Linked DNA regions of Macaca mulatta. The protein of the gene in region 3 binds, or shares a complex with, the protein of the main gene of each other region. Links are inferred from orthologs where the notes say so. Each region holds a gene or a part of one and is shown on either strand. Other genes may lie near its edges.

What was found. The genes of interacting proteins can lie anywhere in the genome.
Region 1: PARD3 (region 3) and PRKCZ share a complex: the UniProt entries of both Homo sapiens proteins name them as parts of the par polarity complex. The link is inferred for Macaca mulatta from reciprocal best matches to the Homo sapiens genes PARD3 and PRKCZ.
Region 2: the proteins of PARD3 (region 3) and CDH5 are in contact, whole or in part, in an NMR structure (PDB 2KOH), measured with the Mus musculus proteins. The link is inferred for Macaca mulatta from reciprocal best matches to the Homo sapiens genes PARD3 and CDH5. Residues at the interface, in NP_296369.2 of Mus musculus: Ala599, Gly600, Leu601, Gly602, Val603, Ser604, Val605, Lys606, Gly607, Arg609, Lys611, Lys622, Ile625, Asn655, Gln656, Met659, Arg663, Met666; in NP_033998.2 of Mus musculus: Tyr774, Gly775, Asp777, Gln779, Glu780, Glu781, Leu782, Ile783, Ile784.

Annotation. Positions count from the first base shown.
Region 1 is NC_133406.1:238,640,989-238,648,539, forward strand, and holds the start of PRKCZ (protein kinase C zeta type), read right to left. Parts: upstream 4,644-7,551; 5' UTR 3,885-4,643; coding exon 3,814-3,884; intron 3,732-3,813; exon of another isoform or gene 3,502-3,731; intron 1-3,501. UniProt on the Homo sapiens protein: Calcium- and diacylglycerol-independent serine/threonine-protein kinase that functions in phosphatidylinositol 3-kinase (PI3K) pathway and mitogen-activated protein (MAP) kinase cascade, and is involved in NF-kappa-B activation, mitogenic signaling, cell proliferation, cell polarity, inflammatory response and maintenance of long-term potentiation (LTP).
Region 2 is NC_133425.1:61,889,502-61,897,298, reverse strand, and holds the start of CDH5 (cadherin-5), read right to left. Parts: upstream 4,644-7,797; 5' UTR 4,576-4,643; intron 1,007-4,575; exon of another isoform or gene 1-1,006. UniProt on the Homo sapiens protein: Cadherins are calcium-dependent cell adhesion proteins. They preferentially interact with themselves in a homophilic manner in connecting cells; cadherins may thus contribute to the sorting of heterogeneous cell types.
Region 3 is NC_133414.1:35,742,512-35,749,577, reverse strand, and holds part of PARD3 (partitioning defective 3 homolog), read left to right. Parts: intron 1-1,661; coding exon 1,662-1,850; intron 1,851-2,647; coding exon 2,648-2,818; intron 2,819-7,066. UniProt on the Homo sapiens protein: Adapter protein involved in asymmetrical cell division and cell polarization processes. Seems to play a central role in the formation of epithelial tight junctions. Targets the phosphatase PTEN to cell junctions.

The DNA.
Region 1 (7,551 bases), on a different chromosome or scaffold from region 3:
CCTGAATCCCAGGGGCTGGAGAAGCTCAGGGACCCCCAGGCACCCTTTGAAGGCTGGCGCTTCCCTGCTGCTAGAAACCCGAGGTCCCCCCATCACTGCCTGAACTGAGCAAGAGCTGGTCTCACCCTGCGTGGAGGGGAGGGACCACCACGGGGCCTGGCTGGTGTTTCCTGAAACTCGGAGCAGGAATCACACCCTTGTGGAACACACCGAAATTTCAGAGAAATCTACGGCTTTCTGACACCCACAGGAGCGCGGGGCAAGAACACAGGGCCTATAAAAAGAAGCCTGAAGGGGTGTGAGACGTCCCAAACCACAGAGACACAGGCTCTGCTCTTTGCAGACACTGCTGGCTCCCCACAAGGTTATCTGAATTCGTCAGACAAGTTTCGAGAAACAAAGTTCTCGTCCCAGACAAGAACTCCAGTGCAAACAGAACACAGGATCTGCCCACAGCCACAGCCCCAGCATAGCAGCCCAGGGCCCACCTGCCCCACAGGCCTCACCCAGCCCACCGTGGGCCGCAGCCACCCACCCCTTCCTGCTGGAACTGGCCACCCAGCACCTGCCCCCAGTGCCCGAGCACCCCACAGGAACCAACCTGGCTGGTCTTCACCACAGCCCGCAGCATCACCGCAGATTAGGAAAGTGAGGAATGGAGGGGTCACACACCCAATACCCGGGGTTCGCCCCAAGCTGACACCCATGCCTGCTGCCTGACCTGGCGTCCAACAGTCCGACCACCAGGAACTCCAGAGTGGGAGTCAGCCATCCCTTCACCTTTGACCCCTTCCTGCCCATGCCCCCGCCCCCACACAGTCCTGTCCCCAGGTGGAAGCCAGTTTCCTGCCAATCTGGAGGCCAGGTGGGTGGCTCCAGTCAAACCCCAGGACTTGGGAAGTGTCGGGCCACCACTTCCAACCCTATCCCAATCCTGAATCAAACAGCTGCTCTGTGCCCCTCGGCAGGGGTGTCCAGGACCCAGCACCCAGTAGCCAGCTGGGCAGCCAGGGAGAGACTCCTGTGTCCCTGCGGGGCCCAGCACCAAGCCCTGAGCTACCGCCCGCCCTGGTCTCTGAGCTTTGCACACAGAACCTCCCTGAACACAAAAGTTGTCTGAGCTGGGCCAGGCGAGGTGGCTCACGCCTTTAATCCCAGTGCTTTGGGAGGCCGAGGCGGGCAAATTACGAGGTCAGGAGTTCAAGACCAGCCTGGCCAACAAAGTGAAACCCCATCTCTACTGAAACTACAAAAGATTAGCTGGGTGTGGTAGCAGGCGTCTATAGTCCTAGCTACTCGGGAGGCTGAGGTAGGAGAATCACTTGAACCTGGGAGGTGAAGGATGCAGTGAGCTAAGACCACACCACTGCAGCCTGGGTAACAGAGCAAGACACTGTCTCAAAAAAAAAAAAAAAAAAAAAAAAAAAAAAGTCTGAGCTGGAAAAGGGAAGAGCCAGCACCAGTGTTTGCGACACCAGAAGAATGGGCGTCTGAGACTCGGTCTGGGAGCCTGGCCCAGGTCACCTGGGACTCCCTGAAAACACAGGTGTCTGGGGACCCCTCAGGCCCACAGGGAGCCGGGGGGGGGGAGGCGAGGATTGGATCTCAAGTGTGCTCAGAGGGCCCTGGGGGGACAGGCAAGGATGATGGGGTGGCCATGCCCCATGGGGGTGACTGAAGAGCTCCTCCTTTTTCTAAAGACTTGTCTTCCACGTGTCCACACTCAGCTACCTCCACGAACAGCAGCGTCTCACCCCAGGGACGGAGTTTCTAGGGCTTCCAATAACCCAGTACTCATCCTGGCAACCACTTTCTGGAACTGCGTCATTGCCCTAAGGCCTGAGTGTCCCACCCCACAGCCAGTCCCCTCAGAGAGGCACCGGGTGCCACGAGGGACGAGGAGCCAGGCTGGGGAGAAGGGCAGTTCACACTCTCCAGTAGAGAGGAGGAGGACCTGGGAGGGGACAGAGGAGAGAAGGAATGGTAGGAACAGGGAAGACCCAGAGGGGAGACAGGCCCTGGAACAGGGAGGAAGGTGAAGGAAGAGGTGTGGCAGGGAAGGGAGAGAGGGGAGAGCGGGAAGAGGAGGGAAAACAACAGGGAAGGAGGGAGGAAGAGGAAGGGGTGGGGAGAGAGGGGAGACAGTCCCGGAAGGGAGGGAAGAGGAAGGGGTGGGAGCCTGGTCTCTCCAGCCCAGGAAACCAGAGTCACCGGGTGGAATTACACCCACCCCACCACCAAAGTGCTCCCAGGGGCCAAAGCAGGACAGAGAGAGGACGGGGCGGCCCAGAACTCCAGGGCACTGCCCCTGAGCCTTGGTCCCGGAAATTGGGCACCGGAATGCAGGAGGGTCTGGGCCCCTGCAGCCCTGCCGGTGTGGACCTCCCTCTTGCAGGACACCCCTGACCTCCACACCATCACCTGTTGCCTAGTTTATTGGCTCCAGGCTGGGAAGGAGACAGCAAGCCCAGGTCCTTGGATAAGTCCAATAGCCAGGACCTCAATCACACCAAGTTTTAACCGGCTGACTTCCAGGTCAAAAGACATGGCTGCCCTACCCCTTTGGGTGGGGTTGGATGGTCAGTTCCTCAGAATTCCCTTTCTTCTGGTTTCTGGCACCAAACCCGACCCCACTGCACCCCGAGGGTTCCAGGTGCTTGCCAGAGGGGGGCTGCAGAGGCCTCAACCTTCCCAAAGAAGAGACAACAAACCCGGGGCCAAGCAGCCCCAGATGGCTGACCCGAGACCCCAAGACAAGGTTCGCAAGGAGCTGAACCCGCTCAGACTCGCAGGGCACCACAGAGACCCCTGGGGTACTGTCCTGACAGGACATGGCCCAGGGAAAATGTCACCCACGTAACCCTGCCAGCCGTCCCTGCCTCTGGGGCTCAGGTTGCCACCGCGGGAGCTGAGGCGCACCGGGGCAGGAGCAGCTTTTCAAGATCCCAAGGACCACCCAGTGCAAGCCCGGAGCCCGCAGTCCCCTCCCCTCCCTCTCCGCAGCAGCGGCCACCTTCACCGGAGCGGAGGTCCGAGTTCGGGGCTCCTGGGGACGCAGGCGGGTGGAAGAACAAACCCACGGGCCCTCCCTTCCCCACCACCCACACTTCGGGGGGCAGCGACCCCTCCGCTGTGCCTGTGAGCCCGGCCACCTGGTGCAGCCCCCGCCACCCCCACCAGCGCTGCCCCGGACCCCTCGGCTCCGGCCCCTGACCGCGCCCCCTCCCACAGCCAGACAGAGGCTTCCAGGGGGGCGGGTGCGACGCAAGCCCCGGGGCCAGTCTCGGCCGCGCCGTGGCCTCCAGAAACCCCTGTCCCCACCCGACCACCCGGAGCCCTGCCGGGGGCTGCAGTGGAGCCACCGCGCCCGCGCCCCGGGTCTCCGGACTTTGCCTAAACCGAGACCCCCGGCCGGGTAAACGGGGAGAACATTTAGGAAACGCTGATTTTAAGAAACCCGCCAGGAGTTTTTACAACTTGATGAAAACTTTCAATCCTTACAGGTTTGCGGCCGGAACGTCCCCGCCCAACTTTCCAGCGAAAACGTCAACCACAGTGACCGGGCCGAGGAGCGCGCGGCGCGGGGCCGACCCCAGGGAAACCCGGTCCCGGGGAAGGAGCCGGCGCTGCCCACCAGGTGTCCGCGGGTGACGCTCTCGGGCGGGGACCGAGGACCTCCCGCGACAGCCCCGGGCCCGCAGCGACCTCGCCGCCCTCTCCCTCCCTCCCTCCAGCGCAGGAGCCCCGACGGCTGTGCCCTCCCCGCCCTCCCCGCCTCACCCGCCGCCGCTCCCCGCCCTCCCAGCCGCTCACCCTCCGTAATGCGCCTTGAGGCGGACGCGGCCGCCGCTCCCGTCCATCTTGGGGCTGGTCCTGCTGGGCATGGCGCGCTCCGCCGGCCGCCGTCAGCGCTGCGCCCCGGGAGCTCCGGCCATGGAGCGGGGCGGTGGCGCCAGGTGGGGCGGCGGCGGAACGCGGAAGGCACCGCTCAGGACCGACGGCTCCGGCCCGACCCGGCCAACTCCGCGGAACTCCACGGAACTCCCACGGCGCGCGGGGCGGCAGCTGGGGGCGCGCAGGGCGGGACCGTCCGACGGGGGCGGGGGCGGGGGGCGGGGGGCGGGGGGGGCGGTGTCCGAACATGGCGGACCGAGGTGGAGCCGGCGGCCAATCCGCGGGGCGGGCGGTCCCGGGGCGGGCGGTGGCACCTGCGGCCAATGAGGGCGAGGCGGGGCCACCACCTGGGCCAATCCTCGAGGGACCCCCGGCAGCGGCCCAATGGCGAGGCGCGGGCGGGGCTACCTGTCGGGCGGGGCGCGACGCACCTGCGCCAATGGGACCGCGCGCGGCGCGGCTCTGCCCGGCAACCGGAGGGGCCCCGGCCTGCGGCACCGAGCTGCGGACCCGGGAACTCGCTGGAAACGCAAGTTCTCGGCCCTCGCCCAGACCCTCCGAATCGAAACTCCTGCGGCGCGCGCCCTGCCAGCCCGAGGACTCCGCCGTCCAGGGGTCTCCTGACATCTCCCACTTGCAGGACTGAAGCTGCAAGGAGCGGAGAACCCGGCCAGGGTCAGGGACGGGAGGGTCCAGACTCGGGTTCTCTGGGCCCCAGCCCCCGCTTCGCCCCCATCGAATCCAAGGTCCCCTGTAGGGAAGGGCCGTCCACACTCGTGAGTGCAACCGCTCACTCCGCCCAGGTCAAGGACGCGGCATTGCCCCGAGTCGCCCATGACCTTCATTTCTGAAGCCACAGCCTCTTGGGCCTTACTTGGGGGCGGGGGGGTTGATCTGGACAATCGCCCTCCAGGCCATTCCACCGCTGCCCAGCTCCCTGCCTCCTGGGCTCCTCCCCTGAAAATGCGGTCGAGTTTTCCCTGATCAGCCCATCCCTTGTTGTCTGTATCCACTGAAGCCCAGACCTGCTGCCTGCAAGACCTCACCCAAGCACCAGGTGGACACCCAGACCCAGCTCCTGACCTGGACCCCTCTCCCCTGAGAGTGGACCTGCTCAGGCCACGCCCTCACACCCCTCACCCAGACACAGCCACCAGGACTTCAACCACGTGCTTTCATCACGCAGGTGGGGTGCCTGGCGCCTCCTTGATGCCAGGCCTTGGGGAGACCTGTGGCCACAGAACTCATGTTCTCCCTAGAGGTGGACAGCGTGCCCCTCTCCTATGCAGAAGCTGTCGTTCTTTCTTCTTAAACACCGTTTGCACCCTCCCTCCACCCACTGACCCATCTCTGCCTCTCTCTACAGCAAAGCTTCTGCCAAGCCGCCCTGCTCCCCCTCTACCTCCCCTGCCACCACCCACTTCCACATTTTAAATACAAGGGTCGGTTCTCAGACGTTTTCTTTTCTTTTTTTTTCTCTTTTATTTGAGACGGAGTTTTGCTCTTGTTGCCCAGGCTGAGTGCAATGGCATGATGTCGTCTCACTGCAACCTCCGCCTCTCGGGCTCAAGCGATTCTTCTGCCTCAGTCTCCCAAGTAGCTGGGATTACAGACGTCCACCACCACCCCAGCTAATTTTTGTATTTTTAGTAGAGACGGGGTTTCTCTATATTGGCCAGGCTGGTCTCCAACTCCTGACCTCAGGTGATCCACCTGCCTCGGCCTCCCAAAGTGCTGGCATTATAGGCATGAGCCACCGCGCCTGGCCTCAGACGTTTTCTTGGCCTTTAGCATCAGAGCCCTCCTGGGAAGGCTCACACATCCCCCGCCCCCGGTTCCAGCTCCCCAAATCTCCCATCCTTTGCCCTCCTGGTCTGCAGCTTTTAAAAGTGTGGAGCCCTGGCCTCAGCCTTTGGCCCACTTCGAATCCCCAGCTCAGATGGTCCCCCCGAGCTCCCAAACAAGGTTCACCCAGCCCCAGGCATCCTCTTAATGAGCCTCTCAGCTGACCTCTTCCCCAACTCGGTGGTGCCCACTCCATCTTTCTGGGTCATCAAAGTCCCCCAGTGGTTCCCATCGCTCCCAGAGGGAAAGCCAGCTCCGCTGCCCCCGCCTCCGGGCCTCCTGGCTGCCCCGGCCTCTGCCTTTGCATGGTCACTCCCTCTTCCGGGAGCACCGTCCTACAGAGATCTGCTGGACTGGCACCCACATTCCCTGGAGTCTCTAGCATACTTAATGCCCGTTTCAGCAATCTACTCCTCACCCCCATCTCCATGGGGCGACCCCCTCTGTATCCCTCACACAGGCACAAAGCCCCATGCCCATCTGCTGGGTGTGAAGGGGGACAGAGAGTAGAGGGTGAGGGGGCAGCCTGGCAGTGATTCCCAGATTCCCAGTGATGAGTGGGAACCTGTGTCTGCAGCAGCTCCAGAGCCAGGCACCCGTCGGCCCAGCTCCCCCACGCTGGGCCCCATGGCCAGGGCTGTGGCCTCATCTGGAGTCCAGCCTGGCAACATGGCCTGGGCACTTCCTGATGGGCAGGAAAGAGCAGGGTTTTGCCTTAGTGGGGCGGTGCCTGGAAGGGGCCACTGGACACCTGCAGGACTTCCTGGCTGGTGTTCTGATCCAAGGAGGCAGCAAGGCCTGGTCCTGGTCCCAGCGCCCCTGCTGGGACAGGCCCTTGGCGCTGGCCTCCCCGGGGAGATCCGTGCTGCCAGGCGGGAGCCTCCGTCCTGGAAGCCAGTTGCAGGGTCGTGGCAGTGCCCCAGTGCCTGGGAGATCCATGCTGCCAGGCAGGAGCCTCCATCCTGAAAGCCAGTCCCAGGGTCACGGCAGTACCCCAGTCCCAGCGAGGGAAGGTGGGGGGTGGGGCTTTATTATCTGTGGGGTTGGGAGGGAGAGGGCGGCCTCAGTGGACAGTCCACCCCAGTGTCGGACTTTGTTCAGCCCTGATGCCGGTGGAGGGGGTGGGGGCAGATGCAGGTCCCAAAAGGCTCCAGCAGAGGGCTGCGGGCACAGGGGCTGCCCAAAACGTCCCGAAAACCTCCCCCCGTACCTGCTCTGGCCTCCCCTCGGGAGGCAGAGGCCTCCACTAATGAGATCTGCAAAACAAAGGCCTGACCCGCCCAGGCCCTGGGACCCGCCTCTGGGCAGATGGGGCAGGTCACAGGGAGGTTCCCAGGTCCTCTGCCCTGAGCCTGCACCCCTGAGAGTTCCCTGAGGGCAGAGGGCGCTTCCTGAGGCACGGATAGACTCGCTGACTGGCGGTGGTGTCACTGTGTTGCCCGGCGACAGATAGAGGGTGTTTGCTCTGGAATCTGCCAACGACTCCCATCCAGATCCTGGCCGAGGGCTGGGCCCTGTTAGACCAGGTCCCCACAGCCTCTCCAGGCACCTGGCACACGGGGAAGGAGTGAGTGACTTGGGTAAGGACCCCTCGAGAATGCTGGAGCCAGGCAGCCTCCTAAGACTGTGGGTGGGGACAGAGTCATTGCCCGCTGAGCTCGGCACACCGAGGAGGCACAGCCCTGGAATCTTCCAAGGACTTGCCCTGGGGCCTCCGGGGCAGGTGGGGTGTGGAGGTGACCCTTGGAGTGGGCGGGGCAGGCTCTGAGAAAGGCTGTTGGGTGGCCAAAGGCCAGGCTTTCCACCTCGCCG
Region 2 (7,797 bases), on a different chromosome or scaffold from region 3:
TGCAGGAGGTGTGCCTGCTGGAGTGCGGGCGCTGAAGACCCAGCTCCGTGTGTGGCCCCCGGCAGCTCTCCCCACTGCCTTCCTATTCCACAGCTCAAATCTCAGTCCAGGACAGGGCTGGGACCCAGTGACCCTCAAACTCTCCGGGGACTCTCAAATGGTCTGCTTGAGCTCAGGCATTTAAAGCCGGGTCTTGGCAGCCACAGACATTGGGAGGATGAAGGGTGAGGCCCTGGGAGCCTCGGGAATGGGATTTGGCCAGGCAGCTATGACCTGGCCCCTTCTGCTTCCTCCTGGTTTGTGGCTCAGTTTGGCCCTGGGATAGGCTCCTGTGGGTCCCAGACCTGCTCCCCTCCCATTAGGTTCTGCCAATAGCCTCCTCGCTCCCTGCTGGAGGATGTCTAACTCCTCAGCCAGCCCTCAAGGCCTAGCATGATTGTCCCCTGCCCACCCTGCCAGCTCTCCTCTCTTCCGCTTCCCTGTCCCTTCCAGCCTCGAGGAGAGCTAGAAGTTTCTGAAGTGCACAGTGCCCTTCCTCTCAGCAGCAGGCTTTTTGCCCAGGCTGTTCCTTCTGCCTGGAATGCCCTTCTTTGCTGTCTCCTGGGTTAGCGCTTTACTTCTTCTCAAGCCCCAGACTGCCTACTCCATGAGGTCTTCTGATTGCCACCTGCCACCAGCACAGCCTCTGCCTCCTGGCCTATCTCTGCCCAGGCAGGTTCTGGGCCTGAGAGTTCACTTCATGCCATACCTGGGTGCATGAACTCAACGCCCCAGACCTGGACGTGCTGCCTGTCAGCCTGGTGCCAGCTCCAGTTCTGGTCTTGCCACCCACTCCCTCCCCACTCACAGGATTTAGAAACAAATCTGTGTATTTTCAGACAACACGTAGGGTGGTCAGAGTAGGTACCATTGTTGGTATAACTCAAAGAAGCTCCTCCTTGCTCCCAGATAGCTCCTCTGATGGCCCATGGGATGGGCTGCCATGGGACTGCCCAAAAGACCACCGATAGGGTTTTGATCCTTTAGGGACAACAAAATTATCCTTCTTAAGAGTCCCTGGCTGGGCGTGGTGGCTCACACCTGTAAATCCCAGCACTTTGGGAGGCCAAGGCCAGTGGATCACCTGAGGTCAGGAGTTCAAAACCAGCCTGGCCAACATGGTGAAACACCATCTCTACTAAAAATACAAAATTAGCTGGGCATGGTAGCACATGCCTGTAATCCTAGCTACTTGGGAGATTGAAGCAGGAGAATCGCTTGAATCTGGGAGGCAGAGGTTGCAGTGAGCCGAGATCGCGCGATTGCACTCCAGCCTGGACAACAGGAGCAGAACTCTGTCTCAAAAAAAAAAAAAAAAAAAAAAAAAAAAAAAAAGAGTCCCCAGTGAGTATGCAAACACCCCTGAGCAGGGCACCTCTTAAGACAGTGCTGGCAGAACAGAACTCAGCTTGCCACATGCCCCTTTCCACACCTATGGCAGACATCACAAATCAATCACCCAAAGACTGTATTGAGGATCCTCATAGACTGTGTTGAGGATTCAGGGGCTGAGTTCAAGTTCATTCCCACTGGATGAAGGTAGAGGGTACCAGTTGGCCAGACCTATTTTGTGATGTGAAACAAATTTGTGCTGGAATCTCTGGGCTCCGGGTCATCTAGTCTATCCCCTTGCCTTCTAAAGGGACAGCTCCAAACTTCCCATGCTAAGGAGGCTTCCAGCCTCCTTTGGGCTTCCTGACTTTGTCTGGGACTATGAGGGCAGTGTGGGGAACAGAATGAGGCCCTTGCACCTGCCTGTTTGAACCTGCCCAACTGCTCGGGAGCTGTGTGACCTTGGGTTCATCTCTTGCTTGCTGAGCCTCAGCTTCCTTATCTGTAATGGAGGCAACAGTAGCCGCCTCCCTGGGGAGGACGATTAAATGAGATCATGAGTGTAAAGCCTGGCACACAGTAGGTGCCCAGTAAGGGTGTGGGTGTCTTGACTCCTATCTACCCGCCCTCTCCAGCCTGGTGGGTGTGGTTTTGACTGGCCGACTTACACTTGACCTCATTTCCTGGCTCTACTCTGGGCCCACCTCCTACTCTTTCTGTTCCTCTGCAGAAGGAAATCTCATTCACCACCCGCCCGGCCTGCCCCCGGGTCCCACTTCCTCGTCCTTCCAGTATCTGGACCTGCCAGGATCTGACTGTTTTGCTGTGGTCCAAGGCAGACAATCTGGAAGTCCCTGAATTAGTTTAGGGAGCATCCCCTACTCTCAAGAGATGGGAAGACTGAGGCCCAGGCTGCAGAGGGGCTGCCCAAGGCCTCCTAGCACCTGGGATTCCCACTCTTCCTCCAGCAAGCCCTTCATGATTTACCCACTTAACACCAGCTCGAACCTGGATCAGGACAGACTTTTTAGTATCTCCTCAGCCAGAGGTGAAGCTCCTGAGGGCAGAACCTGCCTCCTAGAACATTCCTTCCCCTGGTGTCACTGGGCTCCTGGCTTGTCCCTGTGCCTGCCTCTGTGGCCTGGAGTGCTCTGCTTTTCCCCTCTCTGAGCTTCACTGTGGAGTGTGGCATGGATTGTGGGTCAGAAGGGACCGCACTCACACCCTGCTTCTACCTTGTGTTGGTTGTGTGACCTTGGCCTGGCTGCACAGCTTCCCTCAGCCTTGGTGGTCCCATCTGTCAAATGGGAATTCTAGTTGCTTCAGCGTGACTGAGGGGGTGCAGAGAGAGGATGCAGGGAACAGGCATGGGTCCATATGGGCAAAAAGGCCCAAGATTTTTCCTGGGACGGTGTCCGCTGTGTCCCCTGGGTGTCCCCGAGTCAGCAGTGAATCATCCAACTTTGCAGAAAATGTGTGGCCCCCTCTGGCTTCCTGCCTTCATGTCCGGCCCTTGTTTAGCAACACAATAGCTCAGGCTGAGGCTGCAGGCAGGCAGCTTAACCCCTTCCAAGCCAGTATACACCTCCCCTACCCCTCATCACCGTAAGCTGAAATTGGTAGGGCCGCTCAGGGACTCAGCAGCTCTTGGGCCCCTTGGAGGATACTCGCTGCCCTCCAGGGCAGGCAGAGGAGAGTCCCAGGCTCCCCACCACCTCAGGATGGACCAGGGCTCCTGGCCCGGGCTCCAGTGGCCTGTGGTGAAAGAGCCTTCCAGGTACACCCTCAACTCCTCAGAGCTGCCTCCCTGGGAATGGCCTTCCTCTCTGGTCAGAATCCTATCTGCCCATCACACATGAGAAACGTCCACGCTGGGGAGGGAGCCTGGCATGGAGCAGGTGCCCAGAGGTGCTCGCAATGTCCTCTCACTTGCACCCCCTTCCTGGTACCTGCTGGGCACCTGAGGACCCCTCCCTGATGGGGTGTTACCATACCTCAAGGGTCAAAACCTTTATGACGTTCACAGTCAGGATCGGCTCTGGGCTAGCAGGAAAATCCAGCCACTATTCCTTAAAGATCCCATGTTATGTGCCATTCCCAGCACCAGGGATTTAGATCACCTCACTTAATTGACTAAGGAAACACTGTTTCTGCATTTCACAGACGAGGCACTTGAGATCTGGGGAAAGAGCCTGGGCTTTGGAGTATGAGATCCTGGTTCAAATCCCCACACCGGCTCATATGTTTCCAAAGCTCAGTTGCTTTCACTGAAATATAAAGAAATAATATATCTACCTTGTGGAGTTGTTAATGGTAAAATAATGAACTCCACATCATCGCTTGTTCCCCACTGTGGTTTGGAAACTCTGGGTAACCTTCCCAAGGTCACCCCAGAGCAAATGGCAGAGCTGGGATCTGTACCCAGGGCAGTTGTCTCCAGGCCAGGCTCTTGGCCCAGACCTCCTGCTTCCAGGGCACTTCCTGAGCTGTGAGGGCCTTGGGGCTCTTGGGCCCTAGCCTTTGAAAGGGTGCCTGGGGGAGGAATGGTGGGCCACTGTCCAGACTACAGCTCCCTAGACACATAGCGGGCCCCGATGGTGTTTGGGCAGGGAAAGGCAGGACCGCAGGTGCCCAGAGCCAGTGCTCAGCTTGCCTATCCTGAAATGGGAGCGCTGGCTTGATAGAGAGGGGCCGAGGCTCTGAGCTCCCCTTTCAGGGCCCCTCCCCAGATCCCAGCATAGAGCTTTAGTGGCGTATGGGTGGGGGGCTGAGGAGGGTGGTGTCAGGACTTCGTAAATCCTCTCCAGTAAGGGTAAGGGCACGGAGGGGAGGCCAAGGCCTGGGTGCCAGTCCTCTGCCCCGGCATGCTGGGCAACTGGGGCAGAATCCTGCCTTCTCTGAGCCTGGCACGGAGGAAGGCCAGTGGGACTTTTTGAGTTGGAGAGTGCAGTTGTGGGAGAGCCGAGCCCTTGCCCTTCCCCCTTCAGCCCCAAGATGCCCATTTGTGCCCTTGGCACCACCTCTGGGTGCACCTTCCCCGGCCCTGCTCTGAGCCTCAAGGAGGCCCAGCATGCCCTCGAGGAGCCTCTCTGTCCTGGGAGCGGGACGATGCCCATTCTACAGATGGGGAAGCTGAGGACCCTCCCACCTCGGGCGCAGGGTGGCGGGTCTGGGGTGGAGGGGAGTGTGGGAGCCCCCACTCACCGTGCCTGTGGGCTGAGGGATGTTTCTGTTCCGTTGGACTGCCTGTCCGTCCAGGGCTGAGCGTGAGTGGAGCTCTGTGGAGCCCGTCAGCCAACCGTCTCTGGAGGGGAGCCACACCCCGCTGGCGAGGGAGGTCTGGCTGCCTCCCCTTCAGGTTTTCCAGCTGGCCCTGGCCCACTTCCCCCCGGGATGGTTTCCTGTTATTGTTCCTTTGTGAGGGCTGGGCTGGCTGCAGATAGGCAGGTCCCCCGGTGGGCGGCCGCCTCAGCCCCGGATGGCTGTCTCCACAGAGGGCTGGCCCTGGACCCCGCCTGGGGCACCCCACTTCAACCCCAATGCCCGGCCTCAGCTCTGGGACTCTGAGCCCAGCACCTGCCAAGAGCCTGGCTGTGGGGACCCGTGGGTGCAGCATCACATTTAACCCGCCTTGGGATGCTGCAGGCAGGTGTCATCACCCCCATTTTATAGCCTGGGAAGCTGAGGCTCAGTGGGTTTAAGGTGCTTGTCCACCCAGCTGGGGTATAACAGAGCCAAAAATCTAGTTGGGGTCAGCCTAGCCTCAGAATTTGATTTTCTGTGGTGACCCCATGATGTCTTTGTGGGAATGGACTTTAAAGGTGATAGGGAGGCTTCAGGAGATGGGAAAGGACAGCAGCTCTTGGCTCTGGAGGACCAGGTTGGCTTCTCCCGGTCAGGGTGGGCGTGGACTCCAGCTCTAAGGCACCAGCCTTGGTCTGTAGGGGACATTTTCATTTAGGGATATTGGGTGGAGTCAAGTGACCCAGCTCTGCTTCTGATGTGACCTTGGGCCAGTCGTGTCATCCTGGAGCCACAGTTTCCTCATCTGTAAAATGGGGATAATCACAGCCTCATCCTCACAAGGCTTTTGACATAAACGAGAGTCAAAGAGGGGCGTGGAAGACAGTGACGCTGAGGCTGGATCAGAGCCCAGCAGAACCAAGAGGCTGGGGAAAGGGAGGGGCCGAGATTCTGCTGACCAGGAGAGACATAGGAGGAGCTTCTCAAAACTACAGAGGACTGGGCTCGACCCAGATCAACTGATTTGGAATCTCCCAGGGCAGACCCTGGGAATCTGTCCTTTGAAGACTTGCTTCTGTTTTTCCATGGGTGAATGTTTGGGAAGTCCCAAACTTGTTTTATTATATAACTGGGCAAGCAGAGACCCTGAGAAAGACAGGACCCAGGGCTGTTTAGTAAATCAGAGCAGGAGATGGGGAGTGAGATGGAAGGATATTTTTGGAGGAGGAGGGGATAGTGATTCCTCTATCTCAGGCAGGTTGAGTTTGAGATGCTCATTAGATACCCAGGTAGAGGTGTCAGGTTGGGGCGGGAGACGGGTGAGTCCAGCCTGGAGTCGAGGTTTGGAACCCATGAGCTTATGGCTGGCATCTGAGGCCATGGGCATGGATGAGCTTGGCGGGAGGGAGGCCTCGGACCCTCTGACATTTGAGGATCCATTAGAAGAGGGTCCCACGATGAAGGAGGAATGCCAGGAGAGGGCAGAGGAGGAGGGCAGGGGAGTGGTCAGTGGGTCAGCCTGGGGAGCATGAGGGCTGAGACTTCACTTTGGATTTGGAAGATGAGGTCGTCAATGACTGTGACCAGAACAGGTTAAACAGGAAAAGGTAGACGAGACAGATTGGAGGAGCTAGAGAAAGGGGGATGGGGACGTGGAGTCATGTGTGACTGTAGCTCCTTCCCCAACTCTTACAGTGAATGGGAGCAGAGAAGTGGGAGGGTTTTTTCTTTTATTTTTTTAAACTATGGCAGCACGCTCATATCCCCAGGGAGGATCCAGCAGACGGGAAGACAGATGATGCTGGAGCATGAGGAGCGACCTGCTGGAAGGAGTACAGTCCTTGGGGCGGGATTCTGAGTGGGATCCAGCACATTCAATGGCCGATTGTGGAATGAACAAACAACAGCTCAGCACTTCCTTCTCCAACGGGATTAACTCTGCTTTCTCCTGCCCAGAGGGTGGGCTGGCCGCAGAGGAGCCAGGACAGTGCTCTGTCTGCTGTGTACCAGTCCACATCACCCTCACCCCCGCCCGTGTTGACCGCCTGTCCTCATGGTCTACATGCCCATGGGGACACACTGGCCTGCGCATTGCGTCCTGCTGGGTCTCAGACTTGGGGCTGGTGGCAGATGGGGATAGGGCCTGTCCTGGCACCATCTGCCAATTCCCTTTGTACTCCCAGTCCATGACGAAGTTGACTCTGCCCTGAAAACTACTATTCCTGTGGTCCATAAACAAAGGAATGGTGAGCCAGGCATGAGCTGTGGGCCCCAGGGGTGGGCATGGGGGTCACCATAGCAGAGGTAGTTGAGACTATAGGAGGGAGGCTGGTGCCTCCTTGGTCCCCCTGAGGATTTCATGCTTGATTTCTGGCACTGCCCAGCCTCTGCTCCAACCTCTCTGGAGGCAAAGGAGGTAACAGGAGGGCACAAGGCCAGGAAGTGACATTGGGAGCAAGGAAGGCGGCGGTGGGCCGGCAGGAAATGGGATGGTCTGTGAGACCAGATTAGCAGCAGAGGAGGAAGCAACAGTGGAGGCAGTGGGGGTGGGACGACAAGGCCCGGGACGACCACCCGGCCTCTGCCAGGATAAAGGCTGACCCGGCAGGGAGCGCTGCTTGGGGAAGTACAGGTGTGAGGGTTGCAGACCCAGGTTTGGATCCTAGCATGACCCGTTGCTGCCTGTATGACCTGGGCAGCTGACTTGCCTCTCTGAGCCTCTTTCCTCACCTGGGAAATGAGTTACCTGTTCAGACTTTGCAGGCTGTCTGGAAGATGAAACGAGACAATGAAAATAAATGACAGGACCAGCAAGCCTTACCGAGTGGCTGTTTCTCAAAGCGTGGTCTTCAAGTCATCCATCCTGGGAGAGGGGGATTGAATATGCAGATTCCTTGGACCCCACTCCAGGCTGATGGGGTCAGAATGGCTGGTGATAGAATCCCAGGACTTATGTGTTTGTAGCTCCCCAGGCAACATGTTTGTGTTGTTACATTTGAGGACCACAGCCTTTGTGTGTGCTGCTAATGCACTAAGATCTGCTTGGGACTCCTCATTCAAACCTCAGGACAACCCTGGGCGGGGGGCGGTACTACTGTTAGGCCCATTATATAGATGGGAAAACAGAGCCTGGGAGGGAAAAGCTTTCTGAGATCAGAGTTTGTCAGTGGTGGGGTGGAAATT
Region 3 (7,066 bases):
CCCTGTATTTTTTCAGGTTCTTATTTTGAGTTCTTCATTATATAAGTTTTAATTTTTTTTAACCCATTAGCAAGTTTATTGTAATTGAAATGTTACTTGTCTTTTAAAAACTATGAGGCCATCCTTTGAGATAGCACAAAGATGTCCTGCCATGAAATGTTAACTTTACATATTTGTAAATTAGAAACATCACTTTACATATCACATTACTATGGGTCTAACGATTTATAAATAGCATTTTGCTTATTTTATGATGATCTAAAAAATTCACTTACAGATGAATAGTGTACTCTCAAAATGTATTTTATCTAATTGAGACATCTGAGATTGCATGTTTATGCCCCAAATTCCTTGCATTCCAAATTTTCTTGAATTCCAAATTCCTTGGGTTGATTTTTATTCTTATTAGGACATTTCAAAAATTTGGTAGGATGCAGTCACCTACTTTTTTCATGTTATTGAACATTCTGTAAAAGCACTATCTGTTTAAAGTATATATTACTACATATCTGTGTACCATTATGTTTCTTATTCTTTAATTATAATTTGATAAGTCAAACTTGAGTGATTAAACAGTTGCTGGATAAATATTTCAAAAGTGGGAAAAGAGGAGGAGAAATAGGTTTTAGAACTAGATGTACCATTCAGTTTTTACTTGAAGAGCCTGTGCCACATGTCTGTTATGTGGTTGGAGCAAGAATTTGTGCTTAAACAAGCATCCTGGCCTTACTGATTTGGACATGACCAGTATAGAGATGGTGGAAATCTTGGCCATGAGTGGGATTGCTGAGGAGGAGGACCTCAGAAGGCTGAGTGCTTCCTCTTCAGGAGTGTAGCCTTTCTTAATGATAGACTGTCATCTTAATGCAGTTTATTCAGTTATACATTAAGCTTTCATTTCTTCCTCTGTTTTAAGGGAGGTGAACAAGAATTCGTATATCCTAAATGTTTTTTATTTTAAAAGTCTTCCTTGTCTTCTGTACTTGGTGACTATGAAATTAAATCTGATATATAACTAATTAAACAAGATTACCTGAATAATATTTACCAGCTCTATTATGTATGCTACAATGTTGTGGAAAAGTTTTCTGTGATGTTGTATATCTCTACTTGGTCTCACAGATGTTGACGTTGCAATTAGTTAGAGGCTGTCTGAACCCAGATACCGTTTTCTGCTGATTTTATATGATCAGGATTTGGTATTTTTTTGTGAATAAACACCATTAGTGAACATTAAATGTATTGATAACTTCAGAATTTCCTTATAAAAAGGGAGACAAATGAATTATATTTATTTATTTTTACTCCTGTTGTTACTGTTTTTCTTGTCGTTTAGAGTATATAATGAGACCAAAAAAATCCCGAACTCTAGAACTCTCCTAGTCTTTAGTCCTTCCACTACATTTTCCCCCTAACTTTCTCAAATCTGGTTTAGGTTTGGTTCAATATTGAATAATTGCTACATACAAATATTAACAGCTGGTTCCAGAAATCTTCTGGAGTGGGTGCAGATGTACTGTTTTCATGGATCTTGCTATGGAAACTTGGTGGAAATATTTTGCCTCTTATGATTAAGGAACTGCTCATTAGCAGTCTTTAAAAATAACTTTGAGAAAGAAACATTGGAATATAATGTGCTGTGCAATTTTGTTCCCTATTAGAAAGCAGAAGATGAGGATATTGTTCTCACACCTGATGGCACGAGAGAATTTCTGACGTTTGAAGTCCCACTTAATGATTCGGGATCTGCCGGCCTTGGTGTCAGTGTCAAAGGTAACCGGTCAAAAGAGAACCACGCAGATTTGGGAATCTTTGTCAAGTCCATTATTAATGGAGGAGCAGCATCTAAAGTGAGTGTCAACTTTACCATGCGTATGCCTTTTAATTTCAACATTGTTCCTATTTTGAAAACATATTCCTATTGAAACTTTTAATTTCAACCCTGTTCCTATTTTGAAAACATACGCAGTTAACAGGAGTTTTCTCATTTCTTCATGGTACCGACATTCACAATCAAACAACTAGGAGATGTCTCAGTGATGTGTCACGTGGGGATGGAGTCCATAACTTCAACTCTTCATTTTTTCTCTCACAGAACATACAACCCATAGACATGCTAGTTAAATGAAGTTAATCTATGCAAAGACTTGGCATAGGTCCTAACACAGAATGGGCGTAGAGTAGACATTAATCTTTCCCCTCCCCTCCCTTGTTTGTGGGTCACTTACTCTATTTCTCAGCCTAGAGAAAATTTCCTGGCCATTTGTTAAGGGGACAGTTCTCTGCAACTGTCTAATAGCCTTGAGCTTTTACATGTCTGGGTTTCTAAATAACCTCTATGGGTGTTTCTGGAAACAAGAAAGTAATCACTTTGTGTCCTTTGAATTAGTATGCTATTTTGGTAAACAGATTATGATAATGACTTGATTTACAAATGTATAAATGATTGAAATAGACACAGGCTACAATAGCTGCTTAGATGTTATTATGCCAGTGTTCAATTGGGCATAATCCATTAGGATTAAAGCTCTCCACTTTTTTTTTTTTTTTGGCTTTGTTTTTTATTTTATTTATTAACTAAAGGAAAAGCTACTTCTTTTATAGCAGTCTATTTAATAGCACTTATTTTTACCTGTTTTCTTCCCAGGATGGAAGGCTTCGGGTGAATGATCAACTGATAGCAGTAAATGGAGAATCCCTGTTGGGCAAGACAAACCAAGATGCCATGGAAACCCTAAGAAGGTCTATGTCTACTGAAGGCAATAAACGAGGAATGATCCAGCTTATTGTTGCAAGGAGAATAAGCAAGTGCAGTGAGGTAAAAATTGCAAAAAAGTGCTAGCATCTGAGATTGTAATAAAACTACATTTCTGTCCTAATTTTGGACAAAGGGTGTTAGGTTCCAGGACCTTACCTCAAAAGACCATAAATTATCTTTGCATGTTGTGGTTTTGTTATTTTGTAGGTGGATTGTGATTTGTGTTCTTAATTCTTGTGATCAACATATTCCTAAGTGGATATTAATACTTCTATTGCCAACTCAGCAGGAAACACTGGGATCTTAATTCCTTTTAGCTGAATTTTTTCTTGAAATCAGGGTCACATCTTCCTTCTCAGAGCCAACAGTTTCTCTTCTATTTGGCAGAGTTATACCTGGGAGGTGAATCATGCAGAGAAACAGTTGCTTATTCATTTGTTTATCTAAAATGGGATGCCTCTTACAAAGTCCCTAGTAGGGAACAGTCTTTCTTTCTCCCATCCTTTCTTTTTTTTTTTTAAAGACAGGATCTCACTGTGTTGACCACGCTGCAGTTCAGTGTTGTGGTCACAGCTCAATGCACCTCCATCTTTTGGGCTCAATTGATCCTCCTGCCTCAGTCTGCCAAAGTCCTGGGATTACAGGCATGCACCATAGCACATGGCCCATAGTCTGACTTTCTTAGATGATGGTGTTTTCTTGTGAGATTATCAATAGCGTATACCTCCCTCTCTTTCTTCAGTCCCCATTTTCTCTTTCTCTATGGGATTGAGTCTGTTCTCTTTGAATGCCTCCTTTTTCAGTAATCTGTATTGCATTATACTCTGCTTGTTCTAAATGTATGTTGCAGTTTGGAATTAGGAGCGAGGAGAACACAGAGCATCCTCTTTTGAAGGACAGGATCATCTATTTTCCCAAATATGGAAAAACATATTTGTTGTATAATAGGACATTTGAAAGTTAAAAATAAATTATATGTAGACTTGATAATATTGGAGCTTGAAAAAAACTAAATTTCATGGATCCATTATAAATTATGTGCCATCTGTAGAAAATAGGTCAGACTAGCCCATGTGCAAAATGAGCTGTTGAAAATGTGAAGTTTTTCTTAATCAGTGTTCAGATTCCCACATTTTAAGATCAACTAAGATAAAATGATTAACAAATAATACAAACTGAAAATTATACCTAAATTTTTTAAGTGTTTTTCTTAATTTTTAAACTTCTGTTTACTAAACATATAAAGCAAACTTTTCAGGTTGCAGTGTCCACTCATCTGAACCTATGATACAAGCATATTTTACAAAGAAAATATACTCTTGAGCTCAGCTGGTAGTCAATATAGAGGTAACGTATTCTGAAAGATCACTGACCACTGAATTATTTTGTTATTTGTATTTGCCAAATGTAGAATGAGTTAACAGTAATCAACAAATTAATTTCCATATCAAGAGAACAACATAACCTTAACTAAAAAATCTCAGAATGGAGAAGAGTGGGACATAAAAACATTCATTTGTGTGAGATAAATATAAAAGCTAATCCCTCACAGTAGGATACTGGACTGATATTTTCCTCTCTTCCCTCCCTCCTGGACTAATGGAATAATAGTTTTTACTCATTGCAAAATCATTAGCTGATCCTTTAACTTAAGTCCCACAAAGCACTATATGAAAACGTCTCAACTTAAGTTTACAAAACATATCACTCTATTTTCTTTTGGCCACCTGAATACTTTCCCATTCCACAGGACAGTTTTCATTCCATAGATATTTATTGAGCATCTTATGTATATCAGAAAATGTGTTAGATCCTGGGGACATAGCAATGAATAAGACAGATGGCATGCATTCTACTGGACGACATATCACCTTCGTCTTTTAGAGACCAACTAAAATTTTTAACACCTTCTCAACGTTTTCCTTCACAGAAAACATTGAATGCTGTAGGAGGACTTAAAATGCAGAAATGGACTGAATATCAGTGTCCTACTTTTATCTGATTCAGGTTATCCCTGTTGTTCCCCCCTAACAGTGACAAAGTAAACCTGTACCAGCCTGAAAATGTTTTGATAAAAGCACTGATTTTATTCTCTCTTGTCCTGTAAGAGACATGAAATTGGAATCCCCCTGAAATATCTCTGTGTCTTATTCACTTCTCCATATTAATTTGTGTGAATGAATATGATTTAAGTAAGGAAACAGCTGCAATAGACAGTAATAGACTTTAATATTCAATATTCCTTTTGGTATCATTTTCATACATTGCTGGTTATTACTATTTCTTAGGACAGCATAAGCTTATAAAGCAATTATATAAAAAAAAATCTTATGAGTACTGTGCTATCTTTGTAATACTAGCAAGAAGCCTTTTGTACTGATAGGGTTTAACTAAAGAATTACATGAAGACAGAAGATCTCAATTCGGCTTCCCATAAGGCATAAGACATGATTTTTCTGCTGTTGTACTTATGTATTACCTTTGGAAAACCTTCTCCTTTGCACACTGGGAGGGTATGTGTAAATTATTTTACAGTAAATATTGATATAAGCATAGGGCATCATGCTGTCCTGAACAAATCTCAAGCCAGAATAATGTGCTGAGTTTTCTTTCTAGGTCTTTTAATCAGCCGTATAGTCCAGTCTTTGCCAATCAGAAAACTGTATTTTGCTATCTCATCTTTAAATCCAAGGTTTGCATATTTAATTTCAAGTTAGGGAAGGTAAGAATGTGTAAAAGAAAATCTTTTGTTCTTTGTCACATTTTTCTTTCTCTTATACATGGAAGTGCTATGTATTAATATGTTTTCTTTATTTTTCACTTTTGTAGAGACAGGGTCTTGCTATGTTGTCCAGTCTGTTCTCCAACTCCTGGCCTCAGCCTGCCAAAGTGCCGAGATTTCAGGCATGAGCCACCTCACCTGGTCCAATATGTTTTCTTTGAATTTATTTGTCAGCTCCCTTCACCAGTTACTGTGTTAAAGCCCTGTATTTCCCTAACATTAGTCCTGACAAGACACATTGGAGAGATTCTCCGGGAGCTATTTCTTAGCCTATTTTGCTTGGCCTTTCAGGAATATGCAGGCACTATTTCATTCTCAAAGTGTCTCCTATCTACTGTCTCTAGTTTTCTGCTACCATACTCGGGGTCTTCTCTAAAGTTTCCTCTTTTCTGTCTGTTCTTTCATTGTTCCTGTCTCTCAGAGTTCCTCTGGGTCTGTTGTCTGTTTTTTTTTTTTTTTTTTTTTTTTTTGAGACAGAGTCTCGCTCTGTCGCCCAGGCTGGAGTGCAGTGGCGCGATCTTGGCTCACTACAACCTCTGCCTCCCGGGTTCAAGTGATTCTCCAGCTTCAGCCTCCTGAGCAGGTGGGATTACAGTCATGCGCCATACCCAGCTAATTTTTTTGTGTTTTTAGTAGAAATGGGGTTTCACCATGTTGGTCAGGCTGGTCTCAAACTCGCGACCTCGTGATCTGCCCACCTCAGCCTCCCAAAGTGCTGGGATTACAGGCGTGAGTCACTGCGCCCTTCCGGGTCTCTTTGTTTTTAACTCTGCTCATACTCCCTAGCTGATCTCCACTCCATGGTCCTCTGAAACCACTTGTTAGGATGAATACCATCATCCTCTTTCCAGCTCACAACTCCACTCTGGCACCAGATCCCACTGTCCACCTGCCTAGGGAAATATTTCCTGCTCTGTCTTATGGGCACCTAATTCACAAGGGATCACATTCTTTCTGTTGTAGAAGGCAGAGATCTGGGGTCACCCAAATGACCCTCTCAATGCTGTCAATATGCCTGTTGCCTGTTGCCTCTACCTCTAGAATTTCCCTCTTTTCTTTTTTGGAGACAGAGTCTCACTGTCTCGCTCTATTGCCTAGGCTAGAGTGCAGTGGTGCAGTCTCAGCTCACTGTAGCCTCGACTTCCCATGCTCCAGCAATGAGGCCACCTGTCTCCCTAGTAGCTGGGACCACAGGCATGCACCACCGCACTCAACTAATTTTTTCTTTAAAGATGGGATCTCACTATGTTGCCCAGGATGATTTTCAACTCCTGGGCTCAAGTAATCCTTTGGCCTCAGCTTCCCGAAGTGCTGAAATTACGTCTGTGAGCCACTGCGCCTGGCCTAAAATCTCTCTTCCCTCAGCTGCTCCTGTCTCTCCCCTCTGCCACTGCCTGAGTTCAGACCTCATCCTCTCACCAGGCTCATTGCTGCAGCTCCCTGAGGGGTTTCTCTGCAATCAGGCTTTCTCCCTCATTCCATTCTCTGCACTGCAGTCAGGCAAATTTTTCTACAAAACACATTGA